Arabidopsis thaliana: one gene and its partners. The protein of the gene in region 1 interacts with the protein of each later gene in a pairwise test. Each region holds a gene or a part of one and is shown in the gene's direction. Other genes may lie near its edges.

Region 1 (5,551 bases):
TCAGCCTGGTCAAAATTGATTCTTTCGTCTACTTTCTAAGGTTTTCTATTCCCAATTCTTTTTGTAGCTCCGATGTTTCTGTCTACAGACAGAAGATTAAGCCTTTTGAGTTTGTCTATTGTTCTGATGAAGAGTTTCGCATGGTTCTTGTTATAGGTAATGAAAAGTATGCTCATTTGAAGAAGCTTGATAAAGCTGGTGACAAACTCAAGCTCTTCAAGGCTGATTTGCTCAACTACGGCTCTCTTCAATCTGCTATTGCTGGCTGCAGCGGCGTCTTCCATGTCGCTTGCCCTGTTCCATCTGCTTCAGTCCCTAATCCTGAGGTGAGGATTTCATTTTTACAATCTCATTGGTGGCTATATGCATTGTCTCACTATGGTTTCACTGGTTTTGCAGGTAGATTTGATCGCACCTGCAGTGGATGGTACGCTGAATGTGCTTAAGGCATGCGTTGAAGCAAAAGTTAAGCGTGTTGTGTATGTTTCCTCTGTATCTGCAGTTGCTATGAACCCTATGTGGTCAAAGAGTCAAGTGTTAGATGAGACCGCTTGGTCTGACCAAGATTATTGCAAAAAAACTGAGGTTAATAATGCATCTTGAATCCCTCATCTCACTTTTTTTTCTTCTTTTAAATCTGACTTTCGTCCCTCTGGCAGAATTGGTATTCTTTGTCAAAGACACGAGCAGAAAGTGAAGCTTTCGAATTTGCAAAACGAACCGGACTTGATCTCGTCAGTGTTTGCCCTACCCTTGTCTTGGGACCTGTATTGCAGCAGCACACAGTAAATGCTAGTAGCCTTGTTCTTCTCAAGCTTCTTAAAGGTATTATAAACAAGCCTCTCATTTCATCTGGGATTGTTAGAAGCAGCAACTTGGTATATGAGTTGGTATTGATTTTATACTTAAGTGTGGTGCAGAGGGTTATGAATCGCGTAATAACCAAGAACGGCATTTGGTAGATGTGCGTGATGTGGCTCAAGCTTTACTTTTGGTTTATGAGAAAGCAGAAGCTGAAGGAAGGTACATCTGCATAGGCCACACGGTTAGGGAACAAGAAGTCGCTGAGAAGCTGAAAAGTCTTTATCTAAATTACAACTACCCAAAGAGGTAAGCAAACAACAGCTGCACATCTCTCTACCCAATTTGAGTGAAAACCTTTAAACCTTAATAAGCTGTTTTTGTTACTTTCATCAGTAAACAGTGTCACTTACCTTTACATCAATGTCTCTGAAGTTTCTTTTAGACCTTACCTTTGATCTAAATTCTACTTATCCAATATCAGATACATCGAAGCGGATGGAAAAGTGAAGGTGAGTTCAGAGAAGTTGCAGAAGTTGGGTTGGACTTACCGGCCGTTGGAGGAAACACTTGTGGATTCTGTTGAGAGCTACCGCAAAGCTAAGCTTGTGGACTGAAAACTGGGAACGAATAGCATATGAGTGTTTTGGGTCCATGTGTTAAGTGTTCCTATCTGCACACGCTCTTTCATCTTTTACTCAAGAATAAGAGTTGTGCAACATATTTTCCATCATGAACTTCTGAGTTTTTGTTACTTTCTTAGACACCATTACTTTTATGACCAATCTACAATTACTCCTTCCATAACTATGTTCCAATATCTCTTTGATACGTTCCAATTTCTACCTACTTACAAAGGATAACTTCACCATTAATACATGAAATCAGTAACGCACAACTTCACCATTCGAATTAACCTCTAAGCCTAGCGTAGCAGATGCACTACATCTTGGCTGACCATGGGACTAAAAAAACATTCGCAATATTTAACAACTAAAGCCAGGTTAATGGACCTGTATTAGGGCCCAAACCAGGCCCGTTTAGATATCCGACTTTTTTTTTAACTTTGCCCATCTCGATAGCTAGATTCTCTTTTCCCTCTTCCTTCTCCGGCGAAGTTGCGTTAGTTAAACAGAGAGTCATGGCCATGAAAGCTCCCGATCCCGGCGGATCTGGGGAAATTCTCCCGAGCACTCCCTCTCTTTCCGAAACTACGTCTGGAGGCGCCGCAGCAGCTTCTAAGTCGGCTCAATTGCCGTCTTCTTCTTCCGATATCGATAATATTCACGTACCTAGCTACTCCAGTAAGTCTGCAACGCCGAGAAAACTTTGATTTATTCTACTTTCTTCACTGTTTCTTACGGATTTTGTACTTGTACCGTCTATTTAACCAATTAGGTTGGTTTTCATGGACCGACATTAACGATTGCGAGGTCCGGTCACTGCCGGAATTTTTCGATTCGAGATCTTCATCCAAAAACCCTAAGTTTTATCTCTACTTGAGGAACTCGATTATTAAGCAGTACAGAGACGACCATCCTCGGAAGATTAGTTTCACTGACGTTCGGAGAACTCTCGTCAGTGATGTTGTCTCTATTCGTCGCGTCTTTGATTTCCTCGATTCATGGGGACTTATCAACTATAATAGCTCCGCCTCTGCTAAGCCGCTCAAGTGGGAAGAAAAAGAGGCCGGAAAATCCGCCGGAGATGCTGCTTCTGAGCCAGCCACAACTGTCAAAGAAACTGCCAAGAGAAACTGCAATGGCTGCAAAGCAATTTGCAGCATAGCTTGTTTCGCCTGTGATAAGGTTTGATTTCATAATTTGTAGCCATAGTAATAATTTCATTCACTGAGTTTGTCACTTAGAATGATTATGTACATTTTTGTTTTCAGTATGACTTGACATTGTGTGCGAGGTGCTATGTTCGTAGTAATTATCGTGTTGGTATTAACTCCTCGGAGTTTAAACGAGTTGAGATTAGTGAGGAGTCAAAGCCAGAGTGGTCTGATAAGGAAATTCTGCTGCTGCTGGAAGCTGTTATGCACTATGGAGATGATTGGAAGAAGGTTGCATCGCATGTTATTGGTAGAACGGAGAAGGATTGTGTTTCTCAGTTTGTCAAGCTTCCGTTTGGGGAACAGTTTGTAAAAGAGTCTGACTCTGAGGATGGTTTAGAGATGTTTGATCAGATCAAGGACTCTGATATTCCTGAATCTGAAGGAATAGATAAAGACGGTTCTTCTCCCAACAAGCGGATCAAATTAACACCTCTTGCAGATGCAAGCAACCCAATAATGGCTCAGGTTAGAAAGACACTACAATTTGAGTAGTTGCGTTCTCTCTCTATGTTAATCTTATTTGTATAAGTCTTCAACATGCGTGGAAATGCTTTTACATTGTTAGGCTACTGAAGAATAGTCCAGTGTCTGCACTAGGCTGTTCCACGACTTGCGTTTTTGTCTCCTTAAAGAACCTAAATCTAGAATACCTTGTGGGGCTTACTTTGAAATCTAGTAATAACAAACCCTAGTTGACATATATAAGGCATTTAAGAATCAAATATGTGTTAGATAATTCTGTACTGTGTTATCACACCTCAATTGTTATGCTTCATTGGCTGTCTCTGAATAAGATTTATCCTATCATGTCCTCTTCAGGCTGCTTTTCTTTCAGCTTTGGCTGGCACAAATGTTGCAGAAGCAGCAGCTCGAGCGGCAGTGAGAGCTTTATCTGATGTAGACTACGAGGCTGACAAAAACGCCAGTAGAGACCCAAATCGACAAGGTATCAAAGACCAAGCTGTCTCTATTTGCAGTCCATTTCTGTCCTAAGCCAAACCCAATAGTGACAGTTTTGTTTTCCTGATACACAGATGCCAATGCTGCATCGAGTGGTGAAACCACTAGAAACGAATCTGAAAGAGCTTGGGCAGATGCAAAGTCTTTAATTGAGAAGGAAGAGCATGAGGTAGAAGGAGCAATCAAAGAGACTGTTGAAGTTGAGGTTAGTAACAATCTGCAACTTTCCATAGACTTTTTATTATATGGTTATACTCAATGATGATTTATGTTGGAACAAACAAAATTTGGGATTAACAGATGAAGAAGATCCGAGATAGGATTGTTCATTTCGAGAAATTGGATTTGGAAATGGAGAGAAGCCGGAAACAATTGGAGGAGGTGAGGAATCTGCTTTTCGTTGATCAATTAAACATTTTCTTCCACACCAGAAAAGCCCGGAAAACTGAAGATAGAATAGAGTGTTAGAACGCACTTAATTTGAAACTGTTATTTCTTATTTGATTCTTGTCTGGTTAAGAAGATGACTTGTATTGTAGTGTACTTGAGATGTGTTGGTAACAAAATGAGATGAGATCGAATTGGTATAAATAAGGCTGGGTTGGTATAAAAGTCAAAACCAAATGGCAACTGCGTCGAAGTATAATTTTTGTCTTTATCAGGCAATCACAAGTGGAAAAGTTTTAAAAATTAATTTTGCTCTTTTGGAAACAATAGAAAATGTCAGGGTTTTGGAGATATCCGATATAAAAGATAGATTTTGTTTTCACTAAATAGGTTAATCTTCAAATGTTGTTAAGTTACCGATGTTTTTTTTGTATCTCCGTAACATGATTACTCTCTTTGTTGCTAAAAGAGTGATGGTTTTTATATTAAGAAACAGTCATTAATTAATCATTTCTGTATTGTTTGTTATATTAAACATTTTCAATAACTATAAACCAATAGCAGTCTAACAAATTTCAATCATTTTATCTTGAACTTTACTAGTTCAGGTTTTTCAGACAAACTAAAAAAACATTGAATTTTCTGTTTTATCTCTAATTAATGTGTTATTTAATATCATATCATCAATTAATCAGCCAAAACAATAAGAATTTCTTTTGGAAAATCTTTCAAAAACATGCATTGAAAATATAAAACGATAACTAATTTAATACAAAATTTAATTTCTAAAACATAACTAATTTAGAAAGGAGTGAGTGATATTTAAAAAAAATAAAGAAAAAACGAAAATGTTTTTTTTGTGGGACAAGTTAAAAGTGGTAGAACATCAATTTATTAGAAACAAAGAGAGTGTATTTTTCTTTCTTCCCCATCGGGAAACCAAACCCAATTTATTTATATATTAAACTCGTACAATATAAAATCTTTTATATTTAACTAAAAATTCAGTAAATATCCATTCTTCGTAAATATTTAAACTCTATTTTTTCTTTTTAAAAAGATCAATTTACATCTTAAATTCAAAATATAAACCATAATATATTATGTACATATTAATACTGCATTCTAAACAATTTCCCAATATAAAAAATAAAAATATATAGAGGTAAATAACTTATCATAACTACTTTATTGATGGCCTTTATAATTAGTTTCTGCTTTGGTAGAATTTTTTAGTTCAGCCTTTATCTCGTTATCTGCATGTCTCTAATTGAGCTTTGTTGCTAAGTTTTAGCTTTTTTTTTTCTTATGCGATCACTTTGCTGGTTGTTGTGTTGGTTGGTTCGGTTCCTTGTACCTTTGATGTATCCTCTATTTCTCTTTTTATCTAGGTTAAGCTTTTTTATTAATGAAATATTAAGTTTGATTGGAAAAAAGAGGCACATTAATAGAAAGTTAGCTTTGTTGTTTAGGTTTTATTTAATATATGTACGTGTGTCATATGTCATAGGTAACAATCTTACTATTTGATTATTAAGCCGGTTTTTGCGTGACGGAACTCTT
Region 2 (7,071 bases), on another chromosome or scaffold:
CCAGCCGGACTTTCTTTTTCGCCTCCAATAGTATTTTGGGCCTAATTTAGGCCTCGCTTTATTGGGCTTCTTATAGAAATTTAATTTCGACGAAATTTAGTTTTGTTTTTTGACAAAAGAAATAGATAAAAGGAAAAAATTCTCATTTCAAATCAAGAGAATTGCAAAGGGAACAAACAATTAGAATTTAATTTGGAAGTTTGAATGTAAAGTTACAAGTACATATCAAGATTGGTTCCTTAGTAAACAATGATCATAACAAATAACTACGCTCATTTGCCAGGGAGCCAAATACTGCATCAGCTTCAGAATTTTCTTAGCTCTTCCAAGGTCAAGTTTCTGGACTTGACGCATCAAGAATGGGTTGTGAAAACGATTCCTCGTAGCTTAGGTAGACACATAGTCATGGCTTCAACGTATCACAGCTAGTTTCATTAACTTCTGCAGACTCATCCAGTTTGTTAATGGGCTGGGAAAACGATTGCAAGAGAGTTTTTTGTGCAGGTAACTCGGCAATGAAAAGCAATGTTTGAGCCCAACCAGCATATTCACCATATTTACTCACAAAGGCTTCTGCAACTCGGCCATGGAGTTTAGGTGTCAGTTTTGCACCAGCAAGGTCTGGCAGTAGATAATTTGTTGCGATCTGATCCATTATCCAAAACAGAACAAAAAAAAAGTTGCCCGAAGTCATCATCACCATTATGTAATTGGATCTCAATTAAGTAAGTACAATACATAGAAACCGATGGACTTTGTTACCTGCCAGACATGTGTGTCAACCGGAATAGCACTATGCTGATCAAGAGAAAACAGAGCTATGCAAGCTGCTACCTTCGGACCAACACCAGGTAATGTACACAGCGCAGCAACTGCCTCTTGGAGTTCGACTTTGCGCAGAGAAAGAAGCCATTCATTACCACCACCTGGCTTTGCTTGCAAAGCATTCACTGTACCTGTTATGTATTTGGCTCTGCTCACCACAAGATAAACCAGAATGAGAGTTTTCAAATGAGATCAGAACCAATCAGAGAAACGGCCACACAATGATTATCTAGCTTAGACCAAACATTAGCTTCAATTCTATGAATGTATAGCCACAGAGTAAATAAAAGTATAAGCTTCAAGCAAAGTTTTAGCCTAAATGTCTAATTCAACATAATGCAACCATTAGAGAGTGATGAAATCACCTGTAACCAAAACCAGCCTTTCTAAACTCTTCCTCAGAAACCCTAGATAATCGATCCAATGATGGGAACTGATGAAACTCAAATCCATCAATGTCACCCAAATGTAACCCTAAAGACGAAACAAAATCCACCATCTTCGTAATCCTCGCAATGTTATTGTTCGATGAGCACAAAAACTGTATCAAGCACTCGAGCGGATCCTGCCTCAACACACGAGCGCCACGGAGATGTCTCGCTAGCTCTCCGAAACGAGGATCTTTTTTCGAGAAATCAGACCATAGCTCAGCTAACGAGATCTCAGCATTGAGAAAATCGAGCAACGCAAGCTCCGCGGATTTAGGGCTTGTGCTACAATGGACGCAGTAGGAAACTGCGTCGTCTCCTGGACGTTGTCTAAGAGAGACTAAGTGAGGCCCAATCGTTCCGCTATACTGAATCGCTCCAGTTTTCTTCCACCGGAATGTTTGACCCGTCGGAAAAGTTAACGGCAACGTCAGCTCCGTGTGGGTTAGTTTTAACGGGAACCATTTAGGTGTTCCTGTTCTGTGTAGCTTCTGTTTGAGAATCGGTGTGACCGGCGGAGACAGTGGTGGTTTGACGGTGGAAGAGATCGACGGCTGAGATGTAGGTCGAGGTCTCTTCATCGCCGTTGCTCGTTAACGGAACCACCACACCAGTATTAATGCGCGACGGTCGACTAATGTATCAATTTAAACCGGTTTAACCAATTTGAACTTTAAGAACCGAACTAAATAATTGATTCGGTTTTTCTCATTCAAAATTGAAAAATAAAACCGAAGTAAAGTTGACTTTAACCGAAGTTAAACCAAAATTTGGATTGGTCAACGAAGCTTGAATTTCGAAATCAGAACCCTCTTGTTTGTCGAGAAGGTTAGGTCGTCGTGGAGAATGAATTAATATATAGAGATTAATGAAGGAAATGGTGAAAGAAATTGCGAGAAAAAGGTTTGGTGTTTAGCTCGAGAGCTGGAAATCAGAACGACTCGGAGGAGAGAAGACAAAGAAAGCAATTCTTTTTACTAAGGGTCTTGCTTCGATTCCACAGAACCCAAAACCTCTATTTCTCTATCTTCATCCACAAAAATGCCAGCTTCTGAAGGTAAATTGCTGTTTCACATCTTTATCTCTCTCAAAATCCAAATTTAAATTGGGATTTGACTTACCCACATAGATCGTAGTGATGGGTATTTCGAGAATTCGTGTGAATTGAATTACACTTTTTACAATTCTGTCGCAGATAGAAGAGGGAAATGGAAAAGGAAGAAGAGAGGGGGGTTATCGGCGGCGAGGAAACCGAAACAAGAGGAGGAAGATATGGAGGAAGAAGACGAAGAGAATAACAACAACAACAACGAAGAAATGGATGACGTTGAAAATGCCGATGAGCTTCAGCAAAACGGCGGCGCAACTCCCGATCCGGGACTTGGTATTGGCGAGGTAGTTGAAGATTCTGGTTCGCGCATCTCTGATTTCCCGGCAGTGGTTAAGCGTGTTGTGATCCGGCCACACGCGTCTGTAATGGCTGTTGTGGCGGCTGAGAGAGCTGGTTTGATAGGGGAGACTAGAGGGCAAGGTTCACTTCCAGCTCTGGAGAACATTTCGTTTGGGCAATTGCAAGCGTTATCTACTGTACCTGCTGATTCTCTTGATCTTGAGAGGAGTGATGGATCGTCTTCGGCTTATGTTATCTCTCCACCACCTATTATGGATGGAGAAGGAGTTGTTAAACGGTTTGGGGATCTGGTTCATGTCTTGCCTATGCATTCAGGTGTGTTTTTTCTTCCTCTTGATACGCGCATTTATGTTAGAGGTTAGGCTTTATGCAGCATCAGCTTTTGCTGGTTGGTAGTATTGTAGTATATATCTTGTGATTGGAATGAGAATTAGTCAAAACAGGTTTGTATGCCGGTATCTCCTTAACGTATAAGTTCTTATCTTCCTTTTGTCTAGTGCCTGGTTCTTAGTTTACATTAATCTGAACGCGACTCAATTTCATATCAGATGTTTCTCTATGTTCCCATGTTCTGTCTGATGGAAAGGAAGAGGTATTATAACTTTTGTACATGATAAATTAGAGTACCTGCTGGCTTGAAGTAGCCTTAGGTGTCTTATCTCAGAAGTACAACTTGAATAGACTATGCAAGTGATGTTCTTCTAATTCGTTTGGGTTTTGTTCCTGGAGTCCTATGGCTCAAATATATCGAGATTCTCCTCTTATTTTATTTTTATTTTCTGATATTTTTGTTCCCAATGCTCGAATTTATTCTTCTACTTTTGCTGTTACATTTGAGCAGATTGGTTTGCACCAAACACAGTAGATCGACTTGAAAGGCAAGTGGTGCCACAGTTTTTCTCTGGGAAATCGCCAAATCATACACCCGAAAGTTATATGGAATTCAGGAACGCCATTGTTTCCAAATATGTAGAGAACCCTGAAAAGACACTGACGATTTCTGATTGCCAAGGATTGGTAGATGGTGTTGACATTGAAGATTTTGCACGAGTTTTCCGTTTTCTTGATCACTGGGGAATAATCAATTACTGTGCCACTGCCCAGTCACATCCTGGCCCTTTGAGAGATGTATCGGATGTGAGGGAGGACACAAATGGCGAGGTCAATGTGCCGTCTGCTGCTTTAACATCTATTGATAGTTTGATCAAATTTGACAAGCCCAACTGTAGACACAAGGGGGGTGAAGTCTATTCATCCTTGCCAAGTTTGGATGGTGACAGCCCTGACTTGGACATCAGAATTCGTGAACACCTATGTGATAGTCATTGCAACCATTGTTCTCGACCGCTTCCAACTGTGTACTTCCAATCGCAAAAGAAGGTTCTTAGGCTGCTTCCCCTTACGTACTGTTCTTTGTGTATCATTATCTGATTCTTTTTTGCACCCAGTGATGTAATAGACTCCAAGCTTTATCTTGCTTACTGTCTCGGATACTGGACCGCTTCTAACTAAAGGATCTTCATCTCTACTTTACAGGGGGATATACTCTTATGCTGTGATTGTTTTCACCATGGAAGATTTGTTGTTGGACATTCTTGTCTTGACTTTGTAAGAGTGGATCCAATGAAATTTTATGGCGATCAAGATGGAGACAATTGGACTGATCAGGAAACTCTCTTGCTTCTTGAAGCTGTGGAACTCTACAATGAAAATTGGGTTCAAATTGCTGATCATGTTGGTTCCAAGTCAAAAGCTCAATGCATTCTTCATTTTCTTCGATTACCTGTGGAGGATGGTCTATTAGATAATGTTGAGGTTTCTGGTGTAACTAATACGGAAAACCCTACAAATGGATATGACCACAAAGGAACAGATTCAAATGGGGATTTACCTGGTGATTTTGTTTTATTCAATTTGTAGCAATGAATTACTTTCCATAGTTATTTCCTTTGACATGCCATACTAATTGTCCGCTTGCGTCTGCAGGATATTCCGAGCAAGGTTCTGACACTGAGATCAAGCTTCCATTTGTGAAGTCTCCGAATCCGGTTATGGCATTGGTTTGTGAACTTTTTTCCGATGCAGATTTCATATGCGCTTCTTATTATCCTTATGATCTCACCAGTTAGAGATATCTCTGATCCATGAATCGATTATATCTGAGAGCTCAATTGTATGCATATTTTGAGTGGAGAATGGTCCTGTATTGCACATAAGTTTGGAGATATGAGGATCCTGATACCAAAATATTTTAGGTTGCATTTTTGGCATCAGCTGTTGGACCTCGAGTTGCTGCGTCCTGTGCCCATGAATCCCTCTCGGTTTTATCTGAGGACGATAGGTTAGTGTATTATATAGTCTCTATCCAATATAAATTCTCTGTAGTGTGATTCAGTTTAATAATACTATGGACTATTCTGAAACTTCTTGATCTAGGATGAAATCTGAGGGAATGCAAGGGAAAGAAGCCAGCTTGCTTGATGGAGAAAATCAACAGCAAGATGGTAAGGAAGTTATTTGATTGTTCTCTTTACAGTGATTCTTTGCTCTTTTGTTTTAACCTAATCTGCGACACCAACATGCTTTAATTGTAAAAAAAACTCAGGAGCACACAAAACATCAAGCCAAAACGGAGCAGAAGCGCAGACTCCACTGCCACAGGATAAGGTTATGGCAGCATTTAGAGCCGGTCTATCAGCTGCAGCAACAAAAGCAAAATTGTTTGCTGATCATGAGGAACGCGAAATCCAGAGACTTTCTGCTAATATCGTTAATCACCAGGTAAAATAGCAGAACCAGTTGCTGATGAGAATTACTGTAGGTAGTTGATTTATTTTGTTGTATAGTGTTTATTGCTGATCTGAGTAAAAACCGCAGCTGAAGAGGATGGAGCTGAAATTAAAGCAGTTCGCAGAAATTGAAACACTGTTGATGAAAGAATGCGAACAAGTAGAGAAAACCCGTCAGAGATTTTCTGCAGAACGGGCTCGTATGCTCTCAGCAAGATTTGGATCTCCTGGAGGAATCTCTCCACAGACTAATAATCTCCAAGGCATGTCTCTATCCACAGGTGGTAACAACATCAATTCTCTCATGCATCAGCAACATCAGCAACAACAAGCTTCCGCAACTTCTCAACCAAGCATAATCCCAGGATTCAGCAACAACCCGCAAGTTCAAGCACAGATGCATTTCATGGCACGACAACAACAACAACAACAACAACAACAACAACAACAACAGCAAGCTTTCTCGTTTGGCCCGAGATTACCTCTCAATGCAATACAGACCAATGCAGGATCAACAGCTTCACCAAACGTCATGTTTGGCAACAACCAACTAAATAACCCTGCAGCAGCTGGAGCAGCATCGATCAACCAGCCTTCGTTTAGTCACCCGATGGTTAGGTCTTCCACAGGTTCAGGCTCAGGGTCCGGCTTAGGCTTAAACTAAGATCCATCTTTCTCTAGCTTATTTAGCTTATCAGTATCCATATTTATTTCACCTTGTTATTTTTAAAGATAAGTTATTTGGCTTTGAGACCGTAGTCTTGTTCCAAGTTAGTGTCTTGTAGTATCAAACCATCATCATCATCATTGTGAATTAAAACAGTCACCAATCTTAATGTCTCTCTTTCCCACAACCATTTCTCTACTCTTCAAACATTAGGGGTCTTTTAACTCGATTCATTTTGACGATAATATATAGACAATTTCATTACAAATCTACATGTAACATATTCGTTCTTGTCGCAATGAAAAACTCAAAATCATTTTTATTTGATTAATCTCTAAGATGTTTTTTTTTTTTTAAGCCTAACCATTTAACCAAGGCGGGAACGAGCTATCATTAACATGGTTTTTTTCTCATAAGAGCTTAAATCCGAATCAGTCCGTTTTAGCGGCGAACCACGGCGAGAAGAGAAGGACGATTTCGGCGAACTCCACCTCGAAGATACCGGCGATCCCTGGCTAGAATCTTCTTCCGACGGAGAAAGCGTTGTTCCCGATTCATAGAAATTGTCAGACTCCGATGTTGTTGATGATGGTTCCTGCTGACCGGTCTTTTTTAAATCGCCGCTCTTACTCTTTTTCAACCCAAATAATGACTTGGGAAAAAAACACCGAGGCAATGAGCCACCGGCACGAGGAGAAGAAGATCGGAAATATGGAGTCGGAGATGCTGAACAGTTGGAGTCGGAATCTGAAGGCGATTTCAGCTTGAAAGACGGAGGAGGAGCGAAGGGAGAGACTGGTCGGCTTCTGGATTCAGAGAAGAAAGAAGAAGAAGACGACGGAGATGGCGAATTCGACGGCGGAGTTGATTTTAATTTGAGAGGAGGAAGTTTGTTAGGAGGAGGTGGTTGAAGAAGAGCTGGATCATCATCACCGGGTCGGGTTTTAGGTA
Region 3 (4,717 bases), 3.3 Mb from region 1:
CACTGGATCTCTTCCTCCAATTGTCTCTCTTGATGAATTCATGTCATCCATAGATTCTGAATCTCCGTCTGGCTTTTTGTCTTCAGATACTGAGAAAAAACCTTCTGTTTCAGATAATAATGATGTAGAGGAGGTTTTAGTTTCATCACCCAAAGAAAGTGCTAATATTGATCTTTGTACATCACCAGTTAAGGCTGAGGCATTGTCACCACTTACGGCTAAGGCATCATCACCTGTTAACGCTGAGGATGCTGACATAGTATCGTCAAAGCCTAGTTCTGATTTGAAATCCAAAACTACATCTGTTTTCATACCTGATGGTGAACGTTTATGGGAAGGTGTGCTCCAGCTGAGTCCTTCTACTGTGAGCTCTGTCATCGGCATTCTAAGAAGGTTTGTAATAAATTGTTTCATGAGTGGTAGCAAACCTATCTCAGTATTTTTTTTTTATTCCACATTTCCAAATTTAGGTTTGCATATATGAATAGCTTTCTTTATTTAGTCTACATGTTACTACTTATCTATACTATTCTAGTGCTTATCAGCTCTATAAAATGTTTTTTTAATGAATATGGCTTCGCTGTTATTGATACCATGTTTACCAACCTGATTTTTACGCTTCACAGTGGCGAAAAGACTACTACAAAAGAGTGGCCTATTTTGCTCGAGATTAAGGGTAGAGTCAGATTAGATGCATTTGAGAAGTTTGTTCGAGAGCTCCCAAATTCCAGGAGTCGTGCTGTAATGGTATTTGTCTACACGTTTACCTCTATCATTAATGTACATGTTTTATATACGCATTCTGTGTTTGAGCCCCTGCAAAAGCTATTAACTGTGACGTTTAACCAAGCTTAAGTAGAAGCATTTAGGAAAGAAGAGGAGAGATTAACGGCCAATACTGATTTGTGAATGATTGAGAAAAATACATTACATCTGTGAATCACAATGGAGATAGATGGACTTACAAAAATATTTTCACCAGAACAATTGCATAGCTTATGTTTCTTGAATAGGCCTCCATATTCCAATAAAACTAAGACCTGTTTGTTCTCGATTCTATATGTATGTGATGAACTCGTTTATCCATCATGGTACTTCTGAAACCTTGCTTTCGTGTTACAGGTTATGTGTTTCGTCTGCAAAGAAGAGTGCTCAAAGACAGAACAAGAGAACATTTCCGAGGTATGAGCGTTGGTAGTTAACCAAGATTCTGTGTATCCAAATAAACGAAAAGATGATTAAAAAAACTTGAGATTTATTTGAATATTAATGATTTATTTGATCAAAACTGAACGCGAATCTGTACAAACTGAAAACCCAAACCGAATTTAAATTGAAACACTCCTAAATATCTGTAGAATGTCTAACTTGGTAACGAAATTTGGGCATTTGGTTTTGTTACTATACAGGTGGTGGATTCATACGCTAAAGATGGGAGGGTGGGTTATGCAGAACCAGCTTCAGGAGTTGAGCTATACCTATGCCCAACCCGTGGGAGAACTGTCGAGATTCTAAACAAGATTGTTCCGAGAAACCAACTCGATTTCTTGAAATCTATAAATGATGATGGTCTTATAGGTGTTGTTGTATGGAGAAGACACACAATTTAAAAAATCACCACTATCTAACAACTCTCACAAGAACCACCGTGAAAAGGGTTCTTCGTTAACCACATATAATACTTCTCGTTACAGTAACATGCTACAGGTCAACAATGACGATGGTGATGATGTGCCACCGGGGTTTGGCCCAATGACCATGGCTCGGGATGAAGATGATGACTTGCCTGAATTTAACTATTTTTCCAGTGGGGATGTTGTCGTGAACCGGACAAGCCGGTCTGTATCTGTAAGAGAGCTTATTCAAAAATATGGAAAATCTGAACCTTTGAGGAACCAAAGTTATAATGATAATGACAATGATATACTACCAGAGTGGCAGCCTCAATCTAACTGGACTCTTGGGGTTACTCATGTAAATGGTGGCTCGATGGTTAGACCATGTAGTGAGTGGTGGTCTCATCAGGATGGCAGAGGAGGATATTAATTGTTTTTTGTTTCACCTTAGCAATTTTGTGTTTGTTATGCATTTTCTGTTGCAGGCAACACTGCTTTCCAAATTTTGTGATTTTCTCTCAACAGTCACCGATATTTGGCACTTTATTAGTAAGATGGGCTTGCGCAGCCCGCTAATATATTGCTCCTTTCTGTAACAAAAAGTACAAAAGTAACAAAATCCACTCCTATCGATTATACTATAAAACAGAAGTGCAGAGAAAATTTCAGTCATGATATTTTTTGACCAGCTCGATTCAGAAATTTGGAAAGACTAGCTTTTTTTTCTCTCGGGTTTCACTTTTTAAAGGTCGTGAAAATTTGGGAATCACTGATCAATTTTGTTAATATGATTTCCTGATTTAGGGTTTCTCTGCATGCCTCTAGAATCAGCAAGTGTAAAGCAATTACCATGGTGACTCCGAAGCAGATCGATTTCTCTTCCTGTGGTGGTGGTGATAACTCCGACGATACCCTCTCCCATCGAGAATCTCCACGGAATCCTTCCTCAAAGCGTGCTGCTGCTTCCTTCGCAGCAGAAGCAGGCGAAGAGACTATGAAGAAGAAAAAGAAGAAGAAGAAGAAGAATTTGGGTCCGCCGTTGATCGTCCGGATCTGGAACGAGGAAGATGAGCTCTCTATCTTAAAGGTATTCTATTCATCTTCTCCGTTACACTTTGATTTGGTTTTGCATTCTGATTTTCTCAAAACCAGATTCGAAATTTCTCAGGGATTAGTTGATTACAGAGCTAAGACAGGATTCAATCCCAAAATTGATTGGGATGCGTTTTACAGTTTCCTCGGAAGTTCTATCGTTGCGAAATTCTCCAAGGAGCAGGTTTTGAGTAAGATCAGGAAGTTGAAAAGGAGATTTCATGTTCATTGGGAGAAAATCAGTGAAGGGAATGATCCGAAATTTACTAGGTCTAGTGATTCTGAAGCCTTTGGATTTTCTTCGATGATTTGGGGACAAGGTGAATTTGGTAATGATGATGGTATGGATAAGGAGATGGTGAAGGAGCACGATGTAAACGGAAATGGCGCAGCTGAAAATGGGACTGCTCGAATAGCACAGGAGAACGAGAGTGGGGAGGAGATGTTAAAGGAGCATGAGGAAACGTTAAATGAGAATGGTGCAGAGGAGATAAGAGACAACGACGAGACTGCTCGGAAAGCACAGCAGCTCGAGAGCGAGAGCGAGGAGGAGATGTTGAAGGAGCATGAGGAACCCTTTAATGAGAATGGTGCAGAGAATATAAGAGACAATAACGGGACTACTCAAATAGCACAGCAGAGCGAGAGCGAGAGTGAGGAGATGTTGAAGGAGCATGAGGAAGTGGCTAATACTGAACTTGTAAATGAGAATGGGGCAGCGAAAACAACAGAGAACGGGACTACTGGTGGAAAAGAGAGACATGATGACGATGATGATGATGAGTTATGCGCTGTGCAGGATGCATTTGAGGCTGTAATGTCGCAAGGTTTAAGTGGTTATCAAAAGAAGTTGCAGCTTGAGAAGCTGATGAACCTTGGAACTGGAAAAAGAAGAGAGTTGAGTGATGAATGGAAAGCGTTATGTGTTGAGGAAAGAAGATTGAATATCAAGAAGCTTAGATTTTCCGCCAAGCTTGCAGAGGCAGCTAATGATAGTTAGATGAAACCAATAAGCCGTTGTAGCATTTGGTGTTAATTAGGTTCTTAGTAAGCCATAAGCTTTAGTCTGTTCAGTGTATATCTTTGGATGTTGTCTTTGTTCTGTTTGGGCAAGTGTTTGTAAGACATTCCAGTTTTAACTGAAGTATCCAGAAGAGCCATCCATGTCCATTGTTGGATATAATAAATTTCATTACTTTCTTGTTGCACCAATCAGTCAATGAAGTGGCAAAACATTTTATATGCATTCCCTAACAAAAGGCATTTACAATGTAATTTTTACATTTTTAACCACTAAAAGGCCAGAAGAAGTGCACAAAGAAAGACTGACCAAATAATAAAATAATTTTTCTTGTCGGTAGTCACCAAAACCATGCTATTCCAAAATGCACTTCCTTTGCAACAAACGGCTTATATCCATATGAATCCGACAGAGGAAGACAAAAGGATTTAGTCTTGTGATGTAGCAGAGTATTCAAAAAGCAAACGTTTGGAAGGTGCAGATTGCAGAAGGACACGCAAGCGGCTCGTGAGCTGGTAAATAAGTGTCCATTGCATTGCCATCTCAGAATCTTTCATCTGTCTTACCACAGAGGCCTGTAGATAAAAGACAGCAAGAACCGTGGAGTGCTTATTTTGGTTAGGTTTTGAAAAAAATGAGGCCATATGGAGAAGAAAGAAGATTTCAATGTTTATGCCTGACCTGAAGACGTTTTCCGAGCTGCACTTCAACTTCCGTTCCAAATGATATGTTGCTCGCCAGAGACTTGAGAGGATCCACAGTTGGATCAACAGAGAGTAAACTTGGGATCTGCGGAGCATACACCAACCTCCATCTCGCCTGACCAAACTCTCCTTTTCCTTCTATCCTTGGCATTATGGTTCCAAGTGTTGCGGTTGCAAGTTTTTTGAAAGCAAGTTGTCCATCTCCTTCTAATATGGATTCTGCTAATTGGCTCTCAAACACCTTTGCAGCCTGCGAAAGGGAGATTATTAAACAGAGATTTCCA

Evidence for each region.
Region 2: the proteins of SWI3B (region 1) and SWI3C interact in binary tests that used the Arabidopsis thaliana proteins (3 or more experiments, as listed by UniProt).
Region 3: the proteins of SWI3B (region 1) and AT2G25650 interact in binary tests that used the Arabidopsis thaliana proteins (3 or more experiments, as listed by UniProt).

The regions. Positions count from the first base shown.
Region 1 is NC_003071.7:14,227,081-14,232,631, forward strand, and holds SWI3B (switch subunit 3), read left to right. Parts: upstream 1-1,891; 5' UTR 1,892-1,942; coding exon 1,943-2,105; intron 2,106-2,199; coding exon 2,200-2,609; intron 2,610-2,695; coding exon 2,696-3,106; intron 3,107-3,460; coding exon 3,461-3,587; intron 3,588-3,675; coding exon 3,676-3,806; intron 3,807-3,901; coding exon 3,902-4,069; 3' UTR 4,070-4,328; downstream 4,329-5,551. Other genes in the region: CRL2 (NAD(P)-binding Rossmann-fold superfamily protein), read left to right, coding at 157-326, 400-585, 660-825, 921-1,110, 1,286-1,418. UniProt on the Arabidopsis thaliana protein: Component of a multiprotein complex equivalent of the SWI/SNF complex, an ATP-dependent chromatin-remodeling complex, which is required for the positive and negative regulation of gene expression of a large number of genes.
Region 2 is NC_003070.9:7,619,202-7,626,272, reverse strand, and holds SWI3C (SWITCH/sucrose nonfermenting 3C), read left to right. Parts: upstream 1-2,106; 5' UTR 2,107-2,294; coding exon 2,295-2,310; intron 2,311-2,448; coding exon 2,449-2,979; intron 2,980-3,505; coding exon 3,506-4,044; intron 4,045-4,200; coding exon 4,201-4,558; intron 4,559-4,650; coding exon 4,651-4,724; intron 4,725-4,919; coding exon 4,920-5,005; intron 5,006-5,100; coding exon 5,101-5,168; intron 5,169-5,269; coding exon 5,270-5,445; intron 5,446-5,541; coding exon 5,542-6,117; 3' UTR 6,118-6,272; downstream 6,273-7,071. Other genes in the region: OGG1 (8-oxoguanine-DNA glycosylase 1), read right to left, coding at 404-646, 763-973, 1,191-1,834; AT1G21695 (hydroxyproline-rich glycoprotein family protein), read right to left, coding at 6,488-7,071. UniProt on the Arabidopsis thaliana protein: Component of a multiprotein complex equivalent of the SWI/SNF complex, an ATP-dependent chromatin-remodeling complex, which is required for the positive and negative regulation of gene expression of a large number of genes.
Region 3 is NC_003071.7:10,912,299-10,917,015, forward strand, and holds AT2G25650 (DNA-binding storekeeper protein-related transcriptional regulator), read left to right. Parts: upstream 1-2,212; 5' UTR 2,213-2,466; coding exon 2,467-2,703; intron 2,704-2,784; coding exon 2,785-3,708; 3' UTR 3,709-3,918; downstream 3,919-4,717. Other genes in the region: AT2G25640 (SPOC domain / Transcription elongation factor S-II protein), read left to right, coding at 1-393, 627-747, 1,123-1,182, 1,410-1,610; emb2410 (embryo defective 2410), read right to left, coding at 4,158-4,304, 4,411-4,683. UniProt on the Arabidopsis thaliana protein: Probable transcription factor. May play redundant roles with GEBP and GPL2 in cytokinin responses by regulating the transcript levels of type-A ARR response genes. Involved in stress responses.